Nothobranchius furzeri: one gene and its partner. The main gene of each other region encodes a partner of the protein of the gene in region 2 in a complex. Links are inferred from orthologs where the notes say so. Each region holds a gene or a part of one and is shown on either strand. Other genes may lie near its edges.

What was found.
Region 1: immt (region 2) and micos13 share a complex: the UniProt entries of both Homo sapiens proteins name them as parts of the mitochondrial contact site and cristae organizing system (MICOS) complex. The link is inferred for Nothobranchius furzeri from reciprocal best matches to the Homo sapiens genes IMMT and MICOS13.

The regions. Positions count from the first base shown.
Region 1 is NC_091748.1:50,418,328-50,421,646, reverse strand, and holds micos13 (MICOS complex subunit MIC13), read left to right. Parts: upstream 1-1,276; 5' UTR 1,277-1,407; coding exon 1,408-1,436; intron 1,437-1,809; coding exon 1,810-1,966; intron 1,967-2,142; coding exon 2,143-2,200; intron 2,201-2,401; coding exon 2,402-2,499; 3' UTR 2,500-2,819; downstream 2,820-3,319. Other genes in the region: hsd11b1la (hydroxysteroid 11-beta-dehydrogenase 1-like protein), read right to left, coding at 839-992. UniProt on the Homo sapiens protein: Component of the MICOS complex, a large protein complex of the mitochondrial inner membrane that plays crucial roles in the maintenance of crista junctions, inner membrane architecture, and formation of contact sites to the outer membrane.
Region 2 is NC_091741.1:108,909,462-108,913,415, reverse strand, and holds the start of immt (MICOS complex subunit MIC60), read right to left. Parts: upstream 2,801-3,954; 5' UTR 2,667-2,800; coding exon 2,625-2,666; intron 2,302-2,624; coding exon 2,234-2,301; intron 2,159-2,233; coding exon 1,969-2,158; intron 1,493-1,968; coding exon 1,348-1,492; intron 1-1,347. Other genes in the region: slbp (histone RNA hairpin-binding protein), read right to left, coding at 3,851-3,922. UniProt on the Homo sapiens protein: Component of the MICOS complex, a large protein complex of the mitochondrial inner membrane that plays crucial roles in the maintenance of crista junctions, inner membrane architecture, and formation of contact sites to the outer membrane.

The DNA.
Region 1 (3,319 bases), on a different chromosome or scaffold from region 2:
AGGTTAGAAGCTCGGTTATCCGGGAGGGGCTTGGAGTAGACCCACTGCTCCTCCACATCGAGAGGAGCCAGTTGAGGTGGCTTGGCATCTGGTCAGAATGCCTCCTGGATGCCTCCCTGGTGAGATTTTCCAGTCACGTCCAACTGGGAGGAGATCTAAAGGGAATACCCAGGACACATTGGAAGGACTATGTCTCTTGGCTGGCCAAGGAACACCTTGGGATTCCCCTGGAGCAGCTGGCCCAAGTAGCTGGGAAGAGGGAAGTCTGGGCCTCTCGGCTTAGGCTGGTTCCCCCGCGATCCGACCACGGATAAGCGGTTGAAAATTGATGTATGGATGTATTTGAATCCCATCCACCAGTCTTCCTGGGGCTTAATGTACCCTGTGCACTGTGGGAGGGTTCAAGACTAGATTTTGTAGTCTAAATAATATATTCATTTGGATATACAATAGGTTAGGTAATAGGAGAAATACATTTAGATGTTTAATGTATCCCTCCAGATGGTCAGACAAGAACATATTTGCTTGTCCAAACAGAATTAAACCGTAATTGTCCAAAAAAGTTCCAAACAAGATATTTTAATCCTTATATTGTGTTAAATATTCCTAGTTTCTGTAACCTCACTTTAGGTTAACATTAGGAGAAACTAATTACCTATGTAGAAAATGTTTACAGTTCTTGTGAACACATAACATGCATTAAAAAAGACATTACTGCACTCTGAAGTTGGTTAAAAAATGCCCCCCCCCCCCCCCCCCCAAAAAAAAACCCACACCAAACATTACTGGTTTTAAAATCCACACCAAATGACGTTTTTACAATTATTCTTAAATTTACCTGGATCAAAACTTGGCGCAGTCCATTTGACAGCAAAATAAGCTACAGAAATGCTCCCTATCAGGATTTTTGCAAATGGTCCCATGTGTGTAAACTCGCTATAAGTCTCAGAAAACTTCCTAGCTGTGTTATAAAAGTCTGCCTTCACTTTCATGATGTGAAGGAGGTGCCATTTATGTAACATCCCCCCTCTCTCTCTCACTCACTCACTCACTCTCTCTATTTTGCGCTTCTCCCGAGATCAAATTATAACATATTTAAATATGTAACATTTCTTATAGTAACTTAAAAAGAACATTTATATTTAACCTGCACACCATTTTTATTTTCATTTTGCTTACATACAATTTTACAAAAGGAATAAAGTGGGATAGAAAAGAACGAATCTGCCGCTGAGAAAAAAGCGTTGGGGTTTCAAAAAACAACTTTATTGACAAAAACAGAGCTAACGCTGCAATGTCCTTCAGTGCAGCCCTATGTCGATGGTGCAGCCTAGCGGTGAAGTTAGATTCGCTGTTTGGAGTCTTGGTAAAAACAGCTTATAAAGAGAAGTTACACAGCTGTGGACCATGGCGGCAAGGATTTTGCCTTTACTCAAGTTCGTATATTTTAATTCACTGTTAAGTTTCGTTTAAGTTTTAGTGGTAAGTGACCTGAATGCTTGATTAGCTTGTGAGCTAGCATGCTACGGCATTTATCCGTTTACTGTATTGAGATTTCAAGCTGTTATTTTCCGATACTTTACTAACTAAATTGTCGCCGAGGATCCAATCAAATATTGCTTCATATGCGATTTTTCATGAATGTTTTGTTGAGTTGCTGATATTGCTTGATCAACGCAGAATTTAAGATCTCCCTGCTTTATTACTTAATAAGCAATGTTTTAATTTTAAGGTGGTGCTTTTGAGTGTGGTAAATGTTACGTGGCTGGGTGGTTTTGGCTTACGGTGTGGCTGATCTTTCATTTGCAGACTGGCCACCAAGGTGACCATTGCAGGAGGCGCTGTTTACGTCGCCTGTGACTCGGGTCTGCTGGGAACCAGCGAACAGGGCTCAGAGGCTCTGGAGAAGGCCAGAGCTGCTATACCACCCGCCATCGAGGAATGGATGAAGTATTTTGGTCTGGAGGTAGAGATGAAATTACACTTTTAGGCGATCACACACATTTTGACATGTTTAAACTGTAGAAACTGAATTCCAGCTACAGCCTCTGCACAAGACTTTGTGGGCGATGCATCATATGTGAAATTAAGCCTTATGTTTAATTGTGTACATCATTTTTTTCTTCTTTCCTCTGTTCCTAGGCTCAGGTTCCAGCCATACCTAAAATTGAAATTTCCCCTGTTGAAGCATGGAATTCTGGTAAGAACCTAGTAAGAATAAGAATACCTTTATTAGTCCCTCAGAGGGTTAATTGCAATATTGCAATGGCTCAGGTACAGCAGGACTTTTTCTTTAATAAAGTGAATTTACCAACAAAAACCTTAGAATATTATCCAGTTTCAGTGATCATTTCATTTGGAATCAAGTATTCTTTAACAACAGTTATTTCTTCTATCACAGGGGTGCGGTGGACAATTTCAAGCCTCTCAGAGGCTCCAACTAAAGCATCTGAATACGCAAGTCAGGGAGTGCAGTACGCAAAAGACCTCATCAAATGAACAAGAACTTTCTGAGTAACCTCATTTATCTATTCACTTGACTTTTGCACTTGTAAATCCTTAAGTCGTCCCCTTTCCTGAACAAAACAGCTTATTTAAATTCAGCTGCAAAAGAGATCTCGGCTGTTTTGTTGAGAGTTGTTGGAAGGATACTGTACATAAAGCAGAACTTTGGTTTATTTCAGTTGTCCAGTAGAGTTGGATACCACCCAGATGTCAAACTGTCCAAAATAATGTAAAAAAAAGTTAATTTCTGCTGTGTGTGTGTATGTATGTATGCGTGCAATCTCACTATTTGCAATAAAATCATTCTGAAAACATTCTCAGGCTTGTTTGGTTTATTTAGTTAAACTTAATTTACAGTGTGCTGATTATAGCTGTGTTCAAAGTGAAGAACCAAACTAATGTGCAAAAATGTTTATTACAACAGAATATTATGACATGGGCAGTCAGTCTGCTACAATTTTGGAACAAGGAGCGAAAATGGAAGCATGAAGTATTTTTGACAAAAGCACAACTAGCAATGACGCTCAGTGTTAACCTTTGTTTTGAATGCATGTACAGAATTGTTTCTAGCACATCAAACATTTTCAAAACCTTCAGGCACTGTTAAGGTGATAAAATAACATAAACAAAATGTTTTCTCAAAGATGCAATAAATTAAAAGATTGTGAGGTCAACACACATTTAGCATCAACTGGAAAAAGAGCTTTTTGTAAGACAACTTACTACAAATTTGTTAGCTCATCAGATTGTGAAAATACATTTAGTTCTTAATTATAGGTGTCTTAATGATTTGTTCACAAGAGACTCAGATTTT
Region 2 (3,954 bases):
CTGGAATCAACTCCCTCTAGCAGTGAGAATGGCCCCCTCTCTCTCCGATTTAAAATCACGCCTGAAGACTCATTTTTATTCCGTGGCTTTTACTTCAGCCGAGTTAGCATTGTACCATGTCTCTGTTTTATTTTTATTGATTTTATAGTAGTCACTGTACTACTTTTATTACTTTCTTCCCGTGTGTGGATTTTTATGCTCTTTTACTGTGCAGCACTGTGGTTGGCCTCGGCCGTGTGGGAATCTGCTTCATAAATAAAATGGAAGTTCCAAATAAACACGATGGTCGTGAAACTAAGAACATCTAAACTCTACCAGCGGAAGAAAAGTCCCCGCCATCCTGTTTATTGTTAGCTTTCTGCAGCACCAGGGAGCAGAACCTCTGGTTGCTGCTTTGAGTCTGCTCCGCTGCGGGGTTATGGCAAGCCACCGTAGCATGTAATTCACAAACGCATCTATCCGTGAACGCAATTTAAACTGGATTAGTGCCAACCCGTACATGTGTCACCATTACATGTTAGCAGTAGAAAGTAAATGTTATTAGCGTTTCCAGTAGCTAGCTACTGAAAATGCTAATTAAATTTTAACTAAGGATACATTTAGGTGACAGCGTGTTGTTTTGAACGCCACTGAGCTGTTATCTAATCAAGTTCCATTGTTAAATGTTCCCGTTTAATCTGATTAATCGAATCGATGACCCAAATAATCGTTTGTTGCAACCCTACACCGCGCTCTTTTGCCCCGCCCACATGCTCAGAGATAACCTCCTGACATCACAGGTCACTGACCGCCCATGTGCCCCCCCCCCGCTGTCTCACACATGTTCTGCACTACTCTTCTCTACCATTTCTGTCCTCGTCTCCGGCTCATCCACCGTCTGACCCTGGAACCAACCCTGCTGTCTGTTCCCGTCACCAACGAGTCCTTTAGGGTCTGCACCGCTCTCTAAACTCTTTCATCATCTAAATCATCTAGCTCATATCCTACCTGTGGATCAGAATCACTAACAATGAGGATTATTATTCCAACAAGCATCAGGCTCCTCAGACTACCTGACACTCGTCACTTCCAGAATGATCCCAACACCAGCTATTCTGACCACTTGTGAACAAGCAGCATCTTTTAGGCAGCGTAGTTTTAAATCTACAAGGTAATTCATGAAGTCCAACCAGCCTGTTGTCGTGTTTTAACGTCGCCATAATCAAATCTCGTATGCGTTTATTCACTCCGCTTGGCCCAAACGCAACACCAAATGAAGCTCATTGCGCTCCACAGCTGGCTCTCCTTCAGCGGCTAATCTGTGGTAGCTTCTGCAGGAGCGGCTGAGAAACGGTGAGAACCTCCTACCCTGTATGCTCTGAGCTGGCGGTGGTGGGACCAGACTGGACTCTGGGCCACTTGCCTCTGCTGCCTCCTTCACACTCTTCTGGGACTTGGCTTTGGGATCCGTTTTTGGTTTATCCAACATGGAGGGTGGCTGGTTCAACTCCACCTGAACAGAAACCATTAGAGATAATAAAAAAAATAATGTTATTGTTCCTAACTACTGAGCCACAACACGTCGAAACAACTTAGCAGCGTAGTCTAATCCAGCTCCTACAAGATCATCCCTGAGCCCCAAGTCCATCGACACGCTCAAATGGTTTACTTAAATCCAAACTTCCTCTGCTGGGAGACGAAAGTGAATTTTGTCACGGTACAGCTGCCACGTCATGTGACCATGAGATGATCTTCCATTTTCATCACAATCCCTAGTTTGTGGCAGCAGCTCAGGGAACACCTAAACCGCGCCTTCTGGTGGCGGCACGCCAGACAGCGAAGACAAAATCAGCACAAATGATGAGAGCCGTCGCTCTAAACAACAAGCCCCGCCCCCTTCTTTAGCTCAGGTGGACTTCACAGGAAAACCTTAACAGGTGACAGGAACTGGACTTTGCGTGTGAACAGGTGTTCACCTCCGCTCCTCACCTGTTTCCTCACAGGGAGACGGGCATCCTCAGGAGCTGGTCCCAGAGCCAGGCCCAGCAGCCAATCAGAGTACGGGACATTCTTCTCCACAGCTGCTCTGAACTTGGGGTCCCATTTGGAGTAGAGCAGTGTCCCTCCCACGCCTCCGCCTACCGTCACCAAGCCGAGAGCAACCACTCTGGAGGCGCCGCTGTGATGGGGAGGGGCAGACGGTTAGGTTTTTACCTGTGAGGTGTGTCCTTACCTCACCTGAGGGGTCAGTTACCTGCTCCTGCTGGTGGAGTAGCACCTGTAGGACTGCAGCGGAGTCAGAGGACTTCTCACACAGTTCTTCTGAAACACACAATGTCCCAGGTACAGTGAAGGCAGCATCTACGGTTGTGACGTCACCTCCAACTAAACTCACCTGTAAACATCAAATCTCTGAACACACAGGTCACCTGAGAGGTGCTCGTTAGGGTTCGGACCCTAATCCTTACCGGTACCGGAGGGAATGTAAACAAAGCCTAACCGCGGGCTAACCAGAGACGCCAAACTGGACCGGATGTCCTGGCACAAAACTGGTTCTGTTCAACCCTGAGAACCGTGGAACCTTGAGCTGGGTCACCGGATGACCCCACCATGCTAGCTGCTAACAGGACGGGTTCGGCTCTTACCCGGACCGTGGCGTGGGCTCCTCGCAGGCACACTCCAAGCATGGTCCTCGCTTCAACGGTCCGAGTCCAAAGCGGGTTCGGCGGTGGCACCACGACAACTTTCCTTCACACAGTCGCTCAGCGGACACAAACCAGAACCGGACCGGAACCTCCTCCCGCTGCCAGGCTTCACTTCCGGGTGGAAAAGCAACCCGTCTTCAGCGCCACCTGCTGGTGGGGAGTATGGCTCCATCCACGCGGACGTTCTCTCCTCTTTACCTGTCGGTCCTCGGGTGGTCTTCCTCCTGGCAGTAGATGGTGAAGGTCCACACTGTGGTCCGGCCCGCATCGCACCCGATTAGAGTAAAAACAGGTCCAACTGCCACCGGTCCCGTCCATCAGCTTCTAGTCATCACTTGCTGACTTCTCATTCTCACTCGACTCCCGCCATCAGGCACGGCTCGGCTGTGGAGGTCTCCGTAGGAGCAGAACCTTCTCTAGCTCTCCGTTCAACTATTCCCAGGAGGGGAATGCCGGGTCACAATTTCTGATCCAGTTTTCACACGTTCCCCTCCACTCCTTGATCGATTCCGTGGTCTTCAGAGAGCAAATGAAGTTTCATTGATGTTCTCCACCTGGTCCATCGTGAGCTCCTTCACCAAACACACTGGTTCCAGCATGTTTCCTAGTGCCGACACGTACACAAGAACAAACTCGTCCCGTACTCACTTCCACCTGAATGCCTCCCAAGTACTTTATTCCATAAAAACTCGGACCTTCTCAAGGATTTCAGGCACCAGTCAGAACCAGTAACGAGGTTGTTCTTTTTATTTTCATGTCTTCATCAAAAGCAAACAAACAAACAGTTGTAATAAGGACATATTAAAATTACACGTAGTTCATAACAGCAAACGTAAAACTGTCCGGCTCAACAGTCAAATCAGAGCTCTACAAAATATTCTACAAGCCGTCCGCCGTCGCTCCTCCTTAAATAACTCCTGGACTCAGGTCGATGCGACGTCTCCCCACCGGGACACAAACAGACGAGGACAACAGGGGCTCATCCCAGCAGTCTCCTGACGGGTCAAAGCTGGAATTATAAACCTGGTGGTGGAGTGATCTCCCTGAGCAGATGTCCAAGTTAAAAGTGTCCTTTTTACGGACTAAAAACAAATATTTGAACCCAAACGACTCCAGAACACACTTCCTAGATGCAGGTGGAGTTCAGCAGGAACCCCAACCATGAGCTACACCATGTCAGGCCCCCCTGGGCTCTCTGTCCTCTGGACTTTAACTGGGGTCCCCAGGTAGTCTTGATCCTGAACAACACAGAACAAGCAGATTCAGAACC